4 linked regions of the Drosophila melanogaster genome follow. The protein of the gene in region 1 interacts with the protein of each later gene in a pairwise test. Each region holds a gene or a part of one and is shown in the gene's direction. Other genes may lie near its edges.

Region 1 (6,308 bases):
CTTTTAAGCTTCAAAATATACTCCATGCACTTCACGTAATACCTAATTTACACGAATTTAACAACGGGTTTTCGTCGAGTTCCGGTTTTTCCTGAAAGCATACGTTATCAAAAAGTGACTTGAGAAGTGATTAAAAGTGTTAATTGCAAACGAGAATCCGTGCGATCAAATATACGAATGCATTCAGATAGAAAGCAGCCCAAATGCGTAATCGTTCTATCACATAAAAGTCAAATAATCAAGATTTATCCACTTTATTAAACACACCCAATCTGGACCAAAATAGATTAAATTCTAATACTCTCCCATATTCCGAACCATCTTGCATGGCGCTAATGAACCGAGACGAGTTCCCAAACCACACGGCGAATATCGCTGGATCGGTCGGATCGCACACATCAAAACAGATATAGCACATACTCGTATACGATATGCATGGTATAATCAACGCGTTTCGATTTCTGTATAATTCCGAATCACTGGACTTGGGATTTATGGATTTGAATGGATCGGGTGGGGGCGAGGTTGGCCAGTTTATAGCCTGAAACCTACTAGTCTAATGGCTATATAAGCCCCGATCGACGGTCGAGACAAAAACATTTGTGTGGACCGTGCGAGCGCGTTAGGTTAGTCTATTGGGAATTACTTGCGATTACTCGCATCAGAAAAATTTGTGCAATAGTATCTCGTATTTGCAATAGACAAGCAAATCGGCTGATAAGCCGATCATATGCAATCAAATATAATTAGTGCATCGCCGTTTCACCCTTCGACTACAAAACCAGTCGGAACTAATAGTTTCGTCTTTTGGCAGATCAGTATGAAGCTTCTGTTGGTTCTTCCACTTCTGGTGGCTGTGGTCTCTGGCCAGGGATTCGGAGGCGGTGGATTTGGAGGCGGATTTGGAGGTGGACTCGGAGGCGGATTTGGAGGTGGACTCGGAGGCTTGGGCAACAATCGAGTGGGTGGAGCTTTACAAAATGTGGCCGGCGCCGTTCAGAATGCCGTGGGCAACATTGCCAAGGCTGTGCCCAAGGTGCCGCTGCTCTCAAACGTCCAGGACTTTGGTGACTTCTTGGTGAGATAGGCAGCATTGATCAATTTCAAAGGTAGAAGTAAAACTTCAACCGATTTGCAGAGCCAATCTGGAAAGACCTATCTCTCCGCCGCTGATCGCGCTCTTCATGAAGGTGCCTTCGCTTCCACCAAGAACCTGGTGGAAGCCGGAAACGCAGCCTTTGCCCAAGGAGTGCACACCTTCAAGCAGGCCGTGAACGCCTTCGCCGATCTGACCCACTCTGAGTTCCTTAGTCAATTGACCGGTCTGAAGAGAAGTCCGGAGGCTAAGTAAGTGCTAACAAACCATTTGCACAGCCGGCATAGGATTTTATCAATTCTATATCTGCACCCAGGGCTCGAGCTGCTGCCAGTTTGAAGTTGGTCAACCTGCCTGCGAAGCCCATCCCGGATGCCTTCGATTGGCGCGAGCATGGCGGTGTCACACCAGTCAAATTCCAGGGTACCTGTGGCTCCTGTTGGGCCTTTGCCACCACTGGTGCCATTGAGGGACACACCTTCCGCAAGACCGGCAGCCTGCCCAATCTCTCTGAGCAGAATCTGGTCGACTGTGGTCCGGTGGAGGACTTTGGCCTGAATGGCTGCGATGGTGGCTTCCAGGAGGCCGCATTCTGTTTCATCGATGAGGTGCAAAAGGGTGTGTCCCAGGAGGGGGCCTATCCCTACATTGACAACAAGGGCACGTGCAAGTACGATGGCAGCAAGTCCGGAGCCACCCTCCAGGGATTCGCCGCTATTCCGCCCAAGGACGAGGAGCAGCTGAAGAAGGTGGTGGCCACTCTGGGACCAGTTGCCTGTTCGGTGAATGGTTTGGAGACTCTTAAGAACTACGCCGGTGGCATCTATAACGACGATGAGTGCAACAAGGGCGAGCCGAACCACTCCATTCTGGTCGTCGGTTACGGATCGGAGAAAGGACAGGATTACTGGATCGTCAAGAACTCCTGGGACGACACCTGGGGCGAAAAGGGCTACTTCCGCCTGCCTCGCGGCAAAAACTACTGCTTCATTGCTGAGGAGTGCTCCTATCCCGTGGTTTAAGCGGGGAATCCGAAATTTATGGCAAAATTTACTGTGCAGTTTGTGATGTGGACTTGGCGTTGGTTGCGTCCATTTCTTAAATAAAAGTCTTTTCTTAATTATAATGCTGCTAAATTAGAGTAGTTAAACGAAAGTAATGCAATGCATTGCTTTGCTTAAATATTTACAGATAACAAATTAAAGAGGAATAAACAAGAATCTTTTGGAAATTTAAAACTATTCACGGGTTAATTGGGCACTAAACGAACTTTAGAGGAGTTCAGCAATTTGATGTGAACAATAACCAGACCTTTATGTCCAAACAAGAAGATCTAGATATTCGGGTAAATTAAAAAAATGTTTGGGGATAGTAACGGAAATAACGCTTGACATTTTAAAACCTGTTAAAAGCGTTGCCAGATGCGGATATTTACAGCAAGAAAGCAAGTAATCGATGATTTCCCCAGTTGGGGATATCGATTATTGCCAAATTTGTGTAAACATCGATGGTATCGCTGTACCGAGACAACAATAATAGAAATAAATTAAGTCAATTGGCGAATTAAACTATATTAGGCGCAGAAAAAACGGCGGACATTTGATGAGCAGCAGGCGGGGAATGCCGTGACGAAAGGCGGCAGTGCGTCCGATGGAAGGCCACCGCGCAACAGTGTTCCTGCAGGTGTGTCTGCTCCGGAAGCGATGTTCTGATCAGAAGAGACCAGCCCACTTTTGGGAAAGTGGGCGTTGTCACCAGAGCGCACGAAACCAAAGCCCCCGGCCACCTGTCTTTCTCCCACTGTGTGTGTGCTAATCGAGGTTTCCCCTTGCCCCTTCCTTTCCAGAAATGTACGCGATAGTGGTGCATGTGCATTGCGACTAATCCAAAGAGTCCCCCTGTGGTCATAACGCATTTAACAACCATCGCAGCCAAATAGTCACGTTTCTCCAGAGATCCCCGTGTGTCTGCACTTTCCCCATCCCCGATAACCCCGCCCCAAGCATGGACGAAGATATCCTAAACGCTGTGGAGTCCCTGTTCGGCAAGGATGTCAAGATCGTGGACTGCGAAACCTCATCCTCGCTGCAGCAGGAGGAGGTGTTGCTGGTCAACGGAGTGCCGGTGAAGCTGGATGGGCTGCCGGCGGATGATGCCAGTGCCATAAAGGCAGCTTTGCTGGAGGGGCAGATGCCATCGGTTGAGCACCTGAATCAATTGCTCTTCCGCGCCGGATTGGCCCAACAGCCCATCGAGGTAGAGACCTCGTTGACCGTCAAGTCCTCTCTGACCACCACGGAGGAGGTGCTGGTCTCGCGCAACGGACAAATCCTAGACGAACGCACCGTGGAGACCAAGGAAAACTTTAACCATCAGTCGCACCAGAAAGAGATCTGGCATCCTGTCAAGCAGCAGTCGGCCTTGGCGCGTGCCACTCCCGAGAATGCCCTCAAATACCGAACCACTTCGAATTCCACGTTCGCATCGCAGGCCACAGACTCGGACGAGCGTCCAGTTGATCCTTTGGGCCGGCAGCTGAACCAAACCTTCTCGAATGCTTCCCTTATGTCCAGCAGCTCTGCTATTACTGGATCCGATCAGGTCATCGGATCTGTATCATCCACCACTATTGGGGACAAAAGCTCGAATATAAGCAGCTGCGACTCCGGGCACGATGGCCTCTTCCACAGCGTGTCGATGAGTGCACCCTGGTCACATCCACGTGACACCTTAACCGACTCTTTGTACTGCGACATTCCCAGCTCCGCAGATGAGTCGGATGCGGTTTCTATCCTAGTAAGTTTGAACGGATTTGCCAGTCGCTAAATAACTAATAATTTACCTAAATTAGAACACCCACTTGAAGATCACAGAGCCATTCGATTGCCAAACAGCGCCAGTTTACGCCAAAGACATACCCAAGAAGGGCAACCTGGATTCGGTGGTCAACCTGCTTATCAATAATAATACTAAGGATTTGCGGTTTGCCTTTCTGACCACTTCCCGCTTGTTTTCACCACCACACCAGCTGCTTTCCAAAATCATTGCCAAGATTGATAATGAGGAGGAAAACGTGTTACGACTTTTGAACGAATGGCTAGACACCTGTCCCGGGGACTTTAGCCATGAACTGCTATTGCAGGAGCTGGAAAATAAGCGTAATGTAAAAGGATTGGCAGCTTTTTTGGATGGAATTCCCCAAGCTTTGGCGCAAAAGGACGAAAATGGACGAAGTCAACTAAATAACCTGCTTACCAAGCAATCGTCGGCCAGCTCGTTGGGACGTCAGAGCAGTATTAAGTCGCTGAAACGCTTTGCCGCCAATGTCTACAAAACAGACAATGTGCTAAACAACTGCAGCAGTGCCTTCGAGTTGGCTCACCAACTTTATGCCATCGAGTACGCCTATCTGTCACAAATACGTCTTGAGGAGTTTGTGGAAATCCTCGAAAAGGATGAGCTGAAGACCTGCATAAGCCAAACCAAGGCGGGCACCTTGGGTTCGAATTGCATCAGCCAGGTGACAATCGACAGTTACGTGCAGTGGTTCAACCAGCTAAGCTACTTGACTGCAACGGAAATATTAAAGGTGAGTACTAAAAAAAAAATTAACCATTAATCAAATAAAAAATATGATTCGTTCGTTCCTAGTTGGGCAAAAAGTCCCAGAGAGCACAAATGATCGACTTCTGGGTGGAAACAGCTCTGGAATGCTTTAACACAGGCAACTTCAACAGCTTGATGGCCATTCTAACAGCATTGAATCTTACTGCCATAGCTCGCCTAAAGAAAACGGTGAGTTTTCGTTAAGTAAAACGAGTGAAGTCTGATTTTACTACTATTTTTTATAGTGGGCCAAAGTGCAGACGACAAAGTTCGAGGGTTTGGAGCATCAAATGGATCCCAGTTCGAACTTTCTTAACTACAGATCCACCATGAAGGCAGCTGTTTGGCGTTCGGAAAGGGAAATGGCCAACGAAATTGAGCGTGCCATCATCCCATTCTTCTCGCTGTTCCTCAAAGATTTGCATGCCATTAACGAGAGCCATGAAACAAAGTGAGTTTGTTTGTGCATAAATGAGCTCTGTTTCGAGATTAACCGAATTCAAATCCGTTTGCAGATTGGCCAACGGATACATAAACTTTGAGAAGTGCCTTCATTTGGGCACCCAGCTGCGGAATTTTGGCAAATGGCAGCGATTGGACTGTCCATACGAGCAGTTGCCTAGTGTGGTGTCCTACCTGTTGAAGGCGGAGGTGCTGAGCGAGGATCTTTTGATGAAGGCCTCCTACGAAAGCGAGCCACCCGAGACCGGCGAGGAGAAGGATCACTACAAGACGTTGAAAGCTGCAAGGAAATCGAACACATAATCACCAATCATTAACGACAATCCTCGAGATAGTGCAATACAATACAAAACGATGCAATAATTCTCGCACTCTTTCGTTGGCGTTCCATTTTCACATTTTGCATTTGTATCGCGATAAAACAGTAACAATAATAACTCTTACACTTCCACTGTGTTTGTTAATTTGTACTTAAGCTTAGACGACGGTATATATTTATTTGCATTCGAATTATATATATACAAGTGACGGGCATTTAATTAGAAACACCAAAAATATGCATAAAATTACTAAAGTAATGTTTTAAATGTTGTATTTTAGCAGTTATATACCCCGAAAAATACATAAAAATAAAAGACTTCGATAAATCCCAAAGTTTTCCCTAACGAATGGTGGCGAACTTCTGAAAGTCGACCGTTCCAAACTTGCCAAACAGTTCCAGAGGATAGTGCTTGCCCTCGACGGGCGCATGGATGCGGATCTGGCGCATGTGGGTGTCCCTGCCATTCTGGTGGTTCGAGATCACAGCAATCTGAAGCATGAAGGTGCGTATGGACTTGACGTTCCCATCCTTAATGGGTATCTGCACCCAGCCGGTGGGTTCGGTCAGGTCCATCACCTGCAGCTCCTGCAAGTCGTTGAAGTTCGTTCCAGATCGTATGGAGATCCTTGATGGCGTGTAACTCTCGTCCAGCTTGTAATCCGTGTATATGTAAATCTGACTGATGTTCGTACGCTTGTGGAATTGAATGTTGACCAGGTGGGGAAGCTGACCGTCCGACTGCCAATAAGTATCCATGATGTTGTCTCGCAAACGCTCTACACCAAATCCTGAAGGCCAAAGAAAATTGTAGAATATGTAAGG
Region 2 (5,148 bases), on another chromosome or scaffold:
AGCTAAGAGAACGTTCCGTCTGATATTAAGAGCTTGCCGGCAGTTGGCGAACGAATGAACTGGAGACCGCCGTTGGAGCAGCCAATTTAAGCGAACTGGGGCCTCATTGGAGAGCCCAAGAGAACGAATGCAAGACATGGCAATAGACAATAGGCAGGCACACAACACAGACGAAATTCCGATGGCGGTGACTAACCGCAGTGGTACAGTGGCCATTGCCTAACAGAGACACGCAAAGATACCCTGTAAGACTCAGAACAGGAAACTTCAGAGCGTCGCAACCATACATAGGAGCTCCTGTAACTCCATTCAAGGTGGTAAAGATGGCCATGCTATTGGATATCCACAGGGAAACTGTCGCTTTAGGGGAATTAGTACCCGGGATTAAGTATTCCCGCATCGATAGCTACTGTGGCAATGACGCAGCAGCAGTTCAAGCAAGTTGCGCCCTCCCGCCGTCCCTATCTCTTTGCCAATCTCTTGGACTTGTGCCGCTGAGACAATCATCTAGGCACCTACGCCCGGCCCGAAAACACCCATCTAATGCGGGTCATTCCCACTCTCCTAATCACAACTCCAAGCCATTTGGCCTCGTTTAGTTGGTAAAAGGAACACGGCACTGGTGGCAATCGGATCATCTACGACATTACCACGCACTTTTCGAATTGAAGTCGGAAAACGAAGGGATTGGTTTAAGTACATTTGGAACTTTTTTTTTGGGCAAGATGATCTTATTTTATTGGGAAGAAACCATTTGCGAGATTAGAAGTGGCGCAGTCAAATTGGAAATGCGACCTTGCCTTGTTGTTTGGCAATTGACCTTTCGAAAACTATTCATCTGTAAATCGTGCATTTACCTGTCGACTTCTCCTTTTTGGGAGTGCTGCCCGTGGTCTTGTACTCCTTGCAGTTGACGGAACCCATTGTGTTTAACAGGCGGTTGTTGATGTGGCTCGCAAAAGACGGGGCGTTGAGTATCCTCCAGGATTGGCTGGACGGGAGCTTGCGTATCCTCAGAAGGCCTTCAAAGGCTCGTTTCGTTTTGACCAAGCTCAGAGCTGTGCGAGGGGACTGCCACCTGAAAGTTGAGTGGCCAGTTTAGGAGCTTTACTTTTCACTTAATAACAATCAATCACTGTGCCAAAGCTCGTTATCAGTTAGTTAGTTCCCGCGTGTTAATCATTTCTATTTAATTATTCCTCCACAGCCTGAGTCATCAGCCGCAGATGGATGTGCTGAACTCCCCCAAACGTGTCCGAGATGCTGTTTTTTGCAGCACACACAACACACGTCGTTGTTTATTTGCGAATTGCTTTTAGTCGCCAATCATCACTCACCACTCTCCACAACAACACTAAACAAAACAAAAACAAAACAACTGGAATATCGCGTGGAAGGGAGGATGAGAGCCTGGGAGCGTGCAACAGGTCGGGGGTCCGCGTCTGTGCCGAGATAAGCGAAGTGGAGTCGAGTGGACCAGGAACGCTGCGAGAGAGCCGGGAGAGCAAGAGCCAATGCAATGCGAGGCACGTCTGGCGCGCGTGAACTGCGGACCGCGTATGGCGCGCAACTTCGTCGCTGGATTCGACTGGAACTGGAAGCTTCGTGCCTCCCCAACACACACGCACTTCTGGGCTCTGTGTGTGTCCGTGGACACAGGAACGGTCAAGATACTAGGAGCCAGCCCTACTGTGTAATCGCAACGCTCCCTGTTCAATGCATCTCTCATGTGTATAATGCGATTATAGATGAAACAAGCGCCAAGACTACCTAGACGAAACAAGAAAATTTCTTGGCAGGATAAACTACCTATGAGGTACCCAATGCAGAGCGCTGGAAACTATAACGCTGACCGCAGTTGTCAGCCTTTCCGACCATTCTCGTGTGTTCCACTAACAAAAACTTCGCGACCTTGCCGTCGCCGCACTTCACTTCGAAGCAATCTCCTCCACCAGCCTGTGGCCAGCACCAAGAAGTCGTAGAGGGTAACACATAGCTGGCCTTCTTCGCGATTCGGACCAATGCACTTGGCGACCAACATATGTACCTGTTGGCTGAGCTGAGCTAAGCCCATCGTGCCACAGTCAGTGCCGGCAGAATTGCATCACCGCCAGCGGAACTAGAACAAGAACACGAAATACCAGCGTTTTATTGCGGTTGCCATGACTCTTCGAGTGGAATAACCAGAACGATAAGTAAACCAAATTTTCCGTCACTGCCTTCGTAAGTAATTGGGAAATGGCTGTTCCTTAGACCTGTTGATACGGATAGTACCGAACAAATTGTTGATATCTCGCTATCTCGAGGTAAACATTGTATCTTTGGACACATTGTATTCTTGTCTTTGGTTAAGGAGTTCGAAAATAATGCTCTTAAGAGCGTACACATTCAATATCATTCTATACGCATGGAAGCCATGTCAGGTGTATTATGTCCTAAGCCCATTCCGTCAATGTCTGCTTGAGCGAATGTTGACACAGTCCAGTTATGCGGATAGGCTTATTTTTATCAGACCCAGGGAATGGGACTCTCAAAATACAGTTGAGCCTTAAAAACTCGAAGAGCATTTTCCAACGGAAAGTGGTTTCAATTAAATGTATTAGTTATTAGTTACTTTTTTCTTATTTGCAGCCCTCCTACTTTGGACACGGACAGGCAAAAAGGCCAGTCAAGCATTCCAGTGGAGAAGGAGGACCAAGCTAGCGATTGCCCAATTGCCAAGTGATTCGCCTTCGATGCCTCGGGCCAGTTAAACCACTGCTAAGCTGGACTAGAACAAGATACATAATTGCCTTCGCGATGGCACGTTGCAGATAAGTTAATCGCCTGAAGGCGGCACGTACGACCATGCGCCGGCGGACACTGCACACTTACACAGCCATCTCTAGTTAACTTTTAACTATTGCGCTGGTAATGTATTATTTTGTAAAAGTTCGCTTGTTTACGTCTGGCCAGTGCTGCCGGACCAGTTCGAATGGTGCGCGCCTTGAGTGGTTCCACAGTGGCAGGTGTTTGTTTCCAAGCAAACGCGAGCGTCGGGCACACTGCCCGGATCACAGTGTGCCGTCCCAATCGAGTGAAATGGAGCTGTTATTCTTAGCCCCTGTCATTGTGATATTTGATTGCTCCGATTGTTCTGACACACACTTGGCTGACAACCTGAGAGGAAACCAGACTGAAAATCCCTGAACATAAATAAATTGGGAAAATGGACGCGGAAAAAATGTTGGAGATCGACGGCTCCTACTTGGAGGGCGGCGGGCAGGCCCTGCGCAACGCCCTCAGCCTCAGCTGCATTTTGGGTAAACCGGTGCGCGTGGTAAAGATCCGGGCCAGCCGCCCGAGTCCTGGGCTCTCGCACCAGCACCTGCATGGGCTGAACCTCCTGCGGGACATAACCAATGCGGACGTGGTGGGAAACTACTTGCTCTCCTCCACAGTGGAGTTCACGCCGCGCACCATTTTGGACAACACGTATCGCGTGGAAACGCACACGGCGGCCAGCATTACTCTGATTTATCAGATGGCGCTCCCAGTACTTCTCTTTGCCGGACGCCCGTCCCGCCTGATCGTATCCGGGGGCACGAACGTCGACTTTGCGCCTCCGGTGGAATACATGCAGGAGGTGCTGCTGCCCAACCTAAAACACTTCGGGGTTAGTTTCGACCTGAAGGTGCAGCGGTACGGCTTCTATCCACGCGGCCAAGGCAGATGCCAGTTGGACGTGCAACCCGTGACCAAGCTGAATTCCGGAAAATTAGTGGCTTTCGGCCGCATCAAATCGGTCAGCGGAGTGGCCTACTGCGCCGGCCGCTTGCCGGTAAATATTGCTATTGACATGCAACAGACGGCTCAACGCGAGATACATCGTTTGTGGCCGTCCCAGCAGTGCAGCATCGAGCCGATTAAGCATTCACGCCAGAAGGCATTCCACAACGGAGCCGGCATCCTGATGACTGTCAACACGACCTCCGACGTTGTCCTAGGTGCTTCTGCATTGGGCAAAAAGAGGATCGACGGACACGTTCTCGGCTCAGAGGCGTCGTGCCAACTGGGCGACTACATGCGCAAACAGGTCTGCGTTGATGATTACATGCAGGACCAGCTCATCATCTACATGGCCCTGGCCGTGGGCCGCTCAACGATGCGCACAGGCAAGCTGACCAATCACACGCGCACCGCCATCAATGTAGCCGAGCAAATGACAGGGGTCAAGTTCGATGTGGCGATGGAGCCCGGCGGCCAGATGCTAGTCAGCTGCAAGGGCTTGGGACATGTGAACAAGTTGATTTAACAATCGATAGATCTCTTTACTCTAAGGAAACCTTAAATTAATGTCTACATATATAGAGAATATACGTGTCCTAAAGGCGCCGGAAAATGGCCAGAAAATGATCGCCCTTGTTTCGAACCACCTTAGCGCCCTCCTCGCTGCTTTGGTACAGCTTCGGGGTGATGGGATCAGCATTCTGTGGGTTTAAACGTAATGATTAATGTGTGACTTGGCTGCGTGATCTCGGTTTTGAACTACGTACGGCCTCCTCTTCGGTAAGACGCTCGTACAGCGGATGCTCCTCCATATGTGTCACTATCCACTTGTGCAAGTCCTCAACGTCCGTCATGGTGTACAACAGACCCTGGGTAAGCAGACTAAGCAGTAAGCAGACCGCATTTCGAGTACTTTCAGGAAACTGTTGGACTTACCCCCTTCCTGAGGATATAGGCATATTCGGAGAGTAGAGCCTGGTTGATAATACGCCACTTGTGCTTGGCGCGCTTGAAATGTGGGTCCGGGTAGAGGAAGAACATCTTCTCCAGCTGGCCCTTTACGAAGTAGTTGGGCAGATACTTCATGGCGTTGGTGCGTAAGCAGGCAATGTTCTGGTATGCACCCGTATCCGCGCATCGTCGACGCAGTGCCGCAATCCGGTCCACCACGTAGTCCGACACCTTGACGCGGATTTCCATGCCGATGGACAGCTTCTCGGGGAACATCTCCCCCAGGGTGACGAGAAAGCCGCCATAGCCGCAGCCTATGTCCGCAAAACTTACCTGCTGGCCCTGCTGAATGCCTGGGTACATGGAGCGCCAGTCCACATCTTCCGGGCGAGCAGGACTATGTGAAGGAGCCTTTAGTGTGTGCAGTCC
Region 3 (3,958 bases), about 13 Mb from region 1:
ACCTCTAGAGCCACGCCGAAAAAATCGTGTGCCAAAAAGTCGTTATGGCGGTACGCATCTTGTTATTCTAGAGTCTTTGATAAAACCCTATCAAAAAATAAGACAAGACGAAATTGTAGGTTGTCAATATTTTTGGAAAAACCAAATCAGACGCATGTGAACTCGTTTATCGCGCGAGGCGAGTTGCATCTCAATTGCGCTGAAGAATACATGTTTTTAACTGGTGTCGGTTGATGGATAGACTGGAAGTATGAAATCGATCTTTCGGATAAAGGCACTGAGTTCTGGGGTATTACCACTGAATGTGGGTATTTGCCTAATTTGGCTTAAGGCTTGATTCAGATGGGATTCCGATAACAGTTTGACTTGCTCGGTTGCCATGGCTGATGATTTTATTTTTATTTTTGTTTTTACACTTTTATTGACCGTATGCAGTAGGTTTGACTATTGCGTGTCAACCACCGATTATAAGTAGTTCTTTTGCGGATAAAAGAGTTAATTGTATTACGATTTTATGTTCACTTTAGCGCCGATTCGCGTGGTTCAATCTTAAGCAGGGTTATGGCGATTGATAACGTACTCAGAACTGAACTAACGTATTGGGGCATGTTTGGGTTTATGTAGGCAGATTGGGATAGCTTAAGAGCGAAGCTTAAGAGAACAACGTTATCAACGTCTATTCTCCTGTTAAGAGAGGAGCTTCCGAAAAATAGGATTAATTGGAGAATCCTGAGACGATTGTGTGGGCGGAAGTTTTTGTTATTTCAGTTGGTTCACCAAGTGATCGGATATTTAGGGGACGTGGACGTTGGCTCGACGCAGAGTCTAGACTTTGGAATTCGGACTTTTGCACTTTGCTGTGAGTAATTGACAGCTAAGCTTAATCGAAGGGCTCTCGATCTTTAATTACATTTCGTACTTACACATTGATGTGTGTGTGTAATTGTTTACGATAGTGTGTGTGGTTGGGGAGTTGTGGGTATAGAATGGATATGTTAATATATATATATGATATAATATAATATATATATGTCGGTGAAGCCGAGCGTCCAATTAATTAGCACAGCAAGTCGCCTGCGTGTTGTCTCTTTGGCAGTTCTCACCAGACTTATTTACTCAAGCGTCGCCTTCTCGATGCTATTCTTCTATTTCTCATCTTCAAAATTCTTTTTTTGTTTTATCCTTACTTCGTTTCCACAAAACTCTACCACAACAACAACAGGCGCCATGCTAATTTGAATACACACACAAATGATGCCCACTCAATAACGGAACTCATTCCGTGAATTTTATTACTCGCTGCTCATCCTTAACATACGGATCAATAAACAAATGTCGGTTACATTCAAATAATAATTCAAATAATATGTTAGATCTACTCAATCTCCGACATATATATTAAAATATTAATAATTATAATAATAAAATTAATAATATTAAAATTATTATTATTATATATATATATATGTATATATATATTTATTTATTATACTTATTGTATTGTATTGTATATATATATATATATATATAATATATATATTATAATATATTATATATATATTGTTATATAAATTAACAGGCAACGATTTTGTGTATTGCGATTTATTATGCGACTATGCGCGTTCTGATGAGTTTTAAAACTAAAGACAGAAAACTTAAGCTTAATATGAAGTAGCCCGTTTTCTGAAGCAGCGCTCACGGCAGAATGCTGACATCGCGCTTCACACGCTCCGGGCAGTAGAATGTTGACCATTGCGCTTCACACGCTCCGGGCAGTGACTAAAATTACTAAAACGGCCCTTGTTCCTTTTCCACCGCTCCTAAATCGTCACTAGCTCACCGACGCTAGTTTGACGAGCTTATGTTTTTTATCGCTTACATTTGCATCAGTTTTTTAATTTTATTTGTGCACAGCCACACCAAAAGTTTGGTCACATGATATGTTCACCTGACAAAATCACAGTTTTCATTGAGGAATTGTGACGAATTGTGTTTGCTGAAACTTTTTATTCTCTTAAAAGTGTTTAACAAAAATTTAAGAAAATGAAAATCTGTGGCCCGAAACTATCACTTTGTGGTCTTATTATCTCTGTTTGGGGTATTGTCCAATTGGTGAGTACTGAGAATCTAATTTCGTCAAAGTTTCAAAAAGTAACCACTTACATATTTATGTTAAAGGTTTTAATGGGTCTATTCTTCTACATAAATAGTGTAGCCCTCATTGAGGACTTACCTCTTGAGGAGGAATACCATTCGTTGGAAGATTTTTATGCAGCTGCAAATAGAGCATACAATCAGGTATGTTCTCTTTTTACAACAACCATATGTACACATACGTCTGCTAATGCAAGGTAAATTTTTTCAGAATGCCTACAACTGCTGGATTGCCGCATGTATATATGTTTTGACTTTGTTGCTCTCCGCCCAGCAATTTTACATGAATAGCAGAGTAACTGCCAACTAATATTTCAGATGTAGTTTCCCAACTACTTAAAACTAGTATTGAAATTTTCCCTTCGATATATTTGTTAGAGGTGTTTTCCTTTTAATAAAGTTAAAGTTCAATTTAAATGTTACAACATGCTTATTGTATTAAGGGGCGGAGTGAGGAGTTTGTGTTTTTTAAACCCCAAAGAAGACTATTCACTTCATTTTTTATGTTTCATGTGTTCAGTGCGCCATTCACTTCTTATTTCTGTTATATATTTAAATTTTGAGAATTAATATATTTGATTACTATAGTAGCGATAAATCCAAACTCCGGAATTTCCTTCAGAGTCATGAAAGCACTTTTTTTTATTAAAGAGGTCAATCTGAACAAATTGTTGAAATGATATTTTATTTCTCCACGGGAATTTTACCTACGGAAGACCTAAAAAAAGGTATTTTAAATGTTTATTACGGTTATTACTGATATTGTGTGGAACGGTTTGGCGAGACATGAATTATTCGTACTGTTTTTAATTTTGTTGATAGCTATTATTAAATTACCCAACTTACAAATATTTTATTTATAAATTAATTAAAGTAGTTAGTAAGGTCATTACTGTCTTGATTTCCTATATCAAGCTGGTAATTAATTATGTTACGTTACGTCGTTCTGTAACATGTACATATGAACACGAGATTATCTTGTGCGCTGTGTTGCTGTATCCACATACACTAGTCGGTAAGCATTTTGACAAAATAAACTCCAAACCTTTTTTCAGTGAAACTTTTAAATGGTTTAATATGATAGTAATGTCTATTTTTTGTGTGTAAGTAAGTCGAACCTTTACTAAATCCTCCATATTGTAAAGGATCATCTCTTTAAAAAGAGAAGTGATTTCAGAAATCGCCTTCTAACGAGTTTTGTGTCACGGAACAGTTATTTTCCGTTTTAAAAGAGACCAGATTTCTTAATTATATTTAAATCTGGACTTTGAGGTGCACAATTCAAGAGAGTGACGCCAACAGCCTTTAGAAACTTGGCTATCATTCGGGCTTTGTGGCACGGAGCATAATCTTTCTGCAGGATAAATGATCCTCGATCAGCCTATTTCCAGAAGGAAACGCATTTTCGTTTAGGGTCGTCAAACATTGCCTTTGGTTCATCGAGCCGGAGACAGGGACCAAGTCACCGAACCGAAGACACTAGAGTAACAGATGCGTAGTGCCATACTCTCAAATTTTTGTTCGAGAGCGAGAGAGCGGAGAGCGCTACAGCGAACAGCTCTTTTCGACGCCTGCAGTGATAGCAGACAACTGTATGTGTGCACACGTATGCTCATGCATTGTAAATTTGACAAAATATGCCCTTCACCTTAAAAGTTCTTAGACTTTAAATCTATATTATTTTTGATAAATAGGCACCATGTGAAAAATTATTGTTTTGCATTGCCTTAACGTTACTATTATTTAATAAAGCTTAGAAATAGAAATAGCCGAATCATAATATCACAAAATAAATTTCAAAAAT
Region 4 (5,235 bases), 1.8 Mb from region 1:
CTCTAATCGCCCATCATATTGAGGCCTGCGCCCAGCTGCCCGATATACGCGAGATCCTGATCATCGGCTATTATCCGCAGACCCAAATGGAGGGATTCGTGGGCGACATGCAGGCCCTGTACAGCAGCAGCAACATCAACATCAGGTGGGAAGAGGGGCTTTGGAAGAACTTGAATCTTAAGTTCCAAGTTGACCTACCCTTTATCATAGGTACCTTCAGGAGTTCACTGCCTTGGGCACTGCAGGCGGAATGTACCATTTCCGGGATCAGATTAGAGCTGGTAACCCCCGAGCCTTCTTCGTATTGAACGGAGATGTTTGCGCTGATTTTCCGCTGCAAGAACTGTGCGACTTTCACGAGAAGCGCCCGGCGAGTGCTCTGGTTACTATCATGTCCACGGAGGCGACACGTCAGCAATCCTTGCACTACGGCTGTCTGGTTTTCGATCGGAGTAGCGGAGCCGTTTCGCATTATGTAGAAAAGCCTAGCTCCTATGTGTCCACATTTATCAACTGTGGGGTGTATGTCTGTTCCATGGATATATTCACGGTGTTGGCACAGATTTTTCATTCGAGAGGTCAGGAGTACAGCTGCCAGGCATTTTGCAATGGAAACGGAAATGGAAATGGACGAGAGCAGGGGCACATCAAGTGGGAACAGGAGGTGCTTACGCCCCTGGCTGGAACCGATAAACTCTTTGCCATGCCAGTGCCTAACTGGTGGTCCCAACTGAAGACTGCTGGGTCGGCAATCTACGCAAATCGTCATTATCTTGGCCTGTACAAGAAAACGCATCCCGAGAGATTGGCCAATGTGGGGATCAAGCGCGGAGAAGGGGACGGCAGCTTGATCTGCACAGTGCATCCGGACGTCTATGTGCATCCCAGTGCCACTGTCCATCACAGCGCAGTGGTTGGTCTAGATCAAACTTATTTTTTAGAGTGCTTCTAACAAAAAGGTCCTGTTCCAGCTGGGACCCAATGTGGCGATTGGACCTGGAGTGACAATTGGACCAGGTGTGCGCATTCGCGAATCGATTGTTTTGGAGCAGGCACAGATCCTGGACCATACGCTCGTGCTGCACTCTATTGTGGGCAGGGGCTCCACCATTGGAGCTTGGGCTCGAGTCGAGGGCACACCTAGTGATCCCGATCCCAACAAACCCTTTGCCAAAATGGAGAACCCACCGCTTTTCAACAACGAGGGCAAGCTAAACCCCTCGATAACCATACTGGGTAGGTGTTTTGAATTGAGTGATGACATTCTTGAATCCTAATTTTCAATTTCAGGCTGTTTCGTGCAGGTGCCCGCCGAGAAAATCCTGCTGAACAGCATTGTACTGCCGCACAAGGAGCTCAGTCGCAGCTTCAAAAACGAGATCATCTTGTGAGAATGATTTTATTTTTTATCTTCGCTCTGTGTCCCTATCAGTATGTCATTTTATATGTTTATATTGTGCTATATTCTGAAAAACTCCCTATTAAATGTGTCTTATCCTCTGCAGCCAATTTTACTACGTCTTTGACCCGGTAAGGTAAACTACTCGGCACTCGTGCTTTTATGATTGAAAGATGGATATGTGATAGTTGGGAAACAATTTTTTTTCGAATACCTTTACGTATTAAACTTTTTACGGCGGTATTACTTTCTTATAAATGTGGTCGAGGGATGCAGTTTTCTGCATTTGTGTGCTTTTTATAAGGAATTGAATTAGGTATATCCGTTACTCGTACAGTATATTCTCGCTCGCACTCCCACTAGCGTATCTTTCAGATCAAAAACATGTAGTAGTTATTGGTATATTTGTTATAAAAAATCGAGGCAATTAAGAATACCAGCATTCATATTGTTTATTTTTTTTAAAGGAAGCTAACTATTGTTCGAGTAAATTATTTATCTTGCACCTTTAAAAGGGGAGTTTACATTCCGATATCGATAAGTGCAAGTAGTTGGGGGTCGTGACACGGTTGCTCCTCAAAAAAGCGGCCCACGCACACCAATACCTGTGCGCTCCCGATGATTTTCCCACTCTCTCTCTCGCTCCCGCTCTTATTCGTTTTGACCAAAACGCGTTTACGTTGCTCGGTTGTCAGCCAGTTAGTCGCCGTCGCCTGTTGCTTTTGATCTGTGCATATCCACCGCTTCTAAAACAGTGAAATTTACTACTTAGTATACTTACCAAATAATGGCCACTAGCTGGAAATGATGATTCTGGCCAAAAGGTAAGGTAACCAGGTAAGCAGTCTATTCTACGTGGGCATTCACCGTTCTCCGTTGGTAATTGAGCAAGCGAAGAAGAGGAGGAGGAAGAAGAAGAGCAGAGCAAACAGTATGCAGGTGTACGTGTGTATGTGTGGTGGAGGACGAATGTGTTGGTGGAGCAGCACAGGTAACTTCTATGCGAGAGGGAGCACGAGAAAGAGACAGAGAGAGAGAGGAAAAGCGCGGGTCATGCTCACTGAGCGTAACTGTCTTGCGCAGCGTGGGAAACTTATAGACTAGCTCTTTGCTTTAAGCCAAGCTTTATTGGCGGAGTTTGTGTAACTCTCTCCCTTGAGCTCTCTGTGTCTCACTCTCTCCGCCGAGTTGCCAACTACCGCAAGGCCTATTGGCAAACTCATACCTGGCCATGTTGTTGTTTTTGCTGGTATGTGCGTGATGGAATCTTGTTTGGTCTGCTCTCTCGCTCTCTGTCTACCGACACAGAGAGAGGTAAGCGCAGCTCACCTTAATTTACCTTCGTGGTTACCTGCGTTTCGCTGCGGCGATCAGTTGTTTTTCAGACTTGAAGCCAAGCGGATGCGCGACGGGTTAAATAAGTTAATAAACAGATTCGACACACACACACACCGAAACGTTTGCACGCACACTCATACCAATTCAACAACTAGAAAAAGACAACAAGACAAAGTGGTGGAAGCAACAGGTCAAAAAGAAGAAGAAAATACTTGTTTGCTGGCTTTAAATTAAAATAGTAAACTATTCAAAAGGCCACAAAACAAAAATAGCAGGCGTTTTATCAAATGTAACTGTAACACATATGGTCTTTTCGAGTTTGTGTGCGAGAGAAAAGAAAGTGCAATAAAAACCAAAATTTGTGAAAAGCCAACAAGTGCAATGTATACAACGTGTTGAACAGAAAAAAAATCATAAAATAAGAAAACAGTAAAAACAGTTAAGTCGCGTCGCTGAGAGAGGGAGAAAAAAGTGAGTAAGAAAGCGAAGAAACAGAGGAAGACGAGCAAGAGGAAGCTGTAGATATCATTTACCAACAACCTGTGGCATCCAACAAAAATCAAAAGAGCGAGAGGGAGATAAAGAGCGCCATAGAGTGTCGATGAGGGAGAGGGAGGGAAAAATATCCGATTGAGAACCACTTGTTGTTGCCGTTAATCAAATTATCTATTAAATATACCAAAATGAATGAGCGACATTAACAAAAACAAAGTGAAAACAAATTTACAGTTAGCGGAGCCCAAAACGAAGATGCTGAGAGAAAGAGAACACAACTTGTTTATGAATACCCTGCACTAGAGAAGTCTTCAAGTTTGTCATATGATTCCATATGATTATGGAAAATTTAAATAGAACGACAATTATTCCGCTACATTAATGGTCTAGTTTTTTTTTTTGGAAAACTTAGTAATTAAAATCCGACAAGATAAGATACTACCCCAATTTGATACTCATGCTGCTTAGGAAAAAACAGAACGGTGTGAATTTTAAATGCACCTGCTAAAGCGTATTTGAAGATCGCCTAGTGCTGAATCTGTTTTCTTATTTGCAGAATCACAAAACAGCAGCAATTTCAGAGTTGCACTTGTTGCTTGCGTGAGATCCAGTTAAAAGAGGGAACGAGATAAAAATCCAGATAGAGCGAGAGCCCAAAACATTTTCCTTCGTTTCTTCTCTGCGCTTTTCTACCACTTTTTTGTTGTGCGAATAACTTTGGCAATTGGCATTTCTCGCCAGCAATTTTTGCGCAATAATAGATTTCCTGTTGCTCCAACAACAACTAACGGCACACGCCAGCGACAACAACAAAACATATATGCAAGCGGGGAACAATGCTTAAAACAAAAATCGTAAAACAGAAACTTGCGCAATTCATAATTTAATAAGCCAGTCCGAAATACAACAAACAATCGGCCAACAATGAAAATCTGCTCACTTTCTGGTTTACCAATAGGCAGGTAGCAATTCATTAATTGCAATAGTTGTTGCCGCTGTTGTGGTATTAGTTTTTTATTCCGCTCCTGCTGCGCCTGTCACTAATTCAAATTTAATAACGGCTTGATGGTTTTGTCTTTCGCACAGTGCAGTAATCGAAAATCGATCTTCACAACACGCAAACCTCTCAATAATCTACATTTCTCAATATATTCAAATATTTGTGCGATTAACATACGTATTCTCATTAATATTGAGGAAAATGGTTGTTTTGAAAACTACCAAAAATTACCTCTGACTTAACAAAAACGGTACATTTCTATTGGTTTCTGTGATATACGATATAAATCTATTTAAATCTTTATAACGTACAATAATTACAAGTTCAAGATAGGAAGGTCCCACTGTGCTGTGATATTCAGGGTTTAGCGTTTCTTATTTTTAATGATGGCCGCAACGCTTTCCCATTGTCTATTTGGTTATTCTTTATTTTACTTAATTGGGCGACTCGCTTACCGTTATTCATTCATTAACGAATATAGTACCTTTTTCATTTCAACGAAAGGGAAACTTATCAATGCGTGTCTGCCCTTCTGGCATAACCGTATCTTTTCATAGTTTCCATTGCAATCAATTAAAAGCGCATAAAGCCTCTCATAAGACCACAATCCATGATATATGTACGTATGTACCACTCTCGAAAGGTTGACGTAAATCAACAGTCTTTAATGGGCTGTAAGGGCTTAAGGTCTCTGAACAGGAAATAGGGCACTTTAAGGCAATAGTAAACGCAGCTTTTCGGTTTAACTAACCCCGGAGGTCGAGAAAAGTGTCAAAATCAAGAAACTTGCGAACCAGTTTAGGCTTTTTGGTTATGAAAGCCGAGGCAGTTCTTTTGGGGAGTACGAAATCGTGGGAACCTGTATTGATGATGACTTCCTGCTAACGGAAAAAAAAAACAAACCAAAGGGCGGTGCAAGATGCAAAAACGTTAAACGTTTAAAACCCATAAAAAGCAAACGTCATAAATTGCACAAGACGCAAGATTATAACCGCAATCCCTC

Evidence for each region.
Region 2: the proteins of CG4853 (region 1) and Rtca interact in a two-hybrid assay, tested with the Drosophila melanogaster proteins (one large-scale study listed by BioGRID).
Region 3: the proteins of CG4853 (region 1) and RNASEK interact in a two-hybrid assay, tested with the Drosophila melanogaster proteins (one large-scale study listed by BioGRID).
Region 4: the proteins of CG4853 (region 1) and fus interact in a two-hybrid assay, tested with the Drosophila melanogaster proteins (one large-scale study listed by BioGRID).

Annotation. Positions count from the first base shown.
Region 1 is NT_033778.4:17,511,638-17,517,945, forward strand, and holds CG4853 (uncharacterized protein), read left to right. Parts: upstream 1-2,579; 5' UTR 2,580-2,779; exon of another isoform or gene 2,780-2,942; 5' UTR 2,943-3,100; coding exon 3,101-3,892; intron 3,893-3,947; coding exon 3,948-4,685; intron 4,686-4,747; coding exon 4,748-4,891; intron 4,892-4,947; coding exon 4,948-5,153; intron 5,154-5,217; coding exon 5,218-5,467; 3' UTR 5,468-5,808; downstream 5,809-6,308. Other genes in the region: CtsK2 (cathepsin K2), read left to right, coding at 731-1,078, 1,139-1,347, 1,413-2,118; APC10 (anaphase promoting complex subunit 10), read right to left, coding at 5,826-6,274.
Region 2 is NC_004354.4:2,070,503-2,075,650, forward strand, and holds Rtca (RNA 3'-terminal phosphate cyclase), read left to right. Parts: upstream 1-1,910; 5' UTR 1,911-2,223; intron 2,224-2,614; exon of another isoform or gene 2,615-2,631; 5' UTR 2,632-3,208; coding exon 3,209-4,294; 3' UTR 4,295-4,364; downstream 4,365-5,148. Other genes in the region: CG4199 (uncharacterized protein), read right to left, coding at 858-924; CG4045 (uncharacterized protein), read right to left, coding at 4,365-4,469, 4,536-4,637, 4,705-5,116. UniProt on the Drosophila melanogaster protein: Catalyzes the conversion of 3'-phosphate to a 2',3'-cyclic phosphodiester at the end of RNA.
Region 3 is NT_033778.4:4,186,100-4,190,057, reverse strand, and holds RNASEK (ribonuclease kappa), read left to right. Parts: upstream 1-1,930; 5' UTR 1,931-2,043; coding exon 2,044-2,112; intron 2,113-2,178; coding exon 2,179-2,298; intron 2,299-2,365; coding exon 2,366-2,464; 3' UTR 2,465-3,223; downstream 3,224-3,958.
Region 4 is NT_033778.4:15,673,490-15,678,724, reverse strand, and holds the start of fus (fusilli), read left to right. Parts: upstream 1-2,055; 5' UTR 2,056-2,223; exon of another isoform or gene 2,224-2,284; intron 2,285-2,771; exon of another isoform or gene 2,772-3,208; intron 3,209-5,235. Other genes in the region: Gmppa (GDP-mannose pyrophosphorylase A), read left to right, coding at 1-145, 211-913, 972-1,236, 1,291-1,391.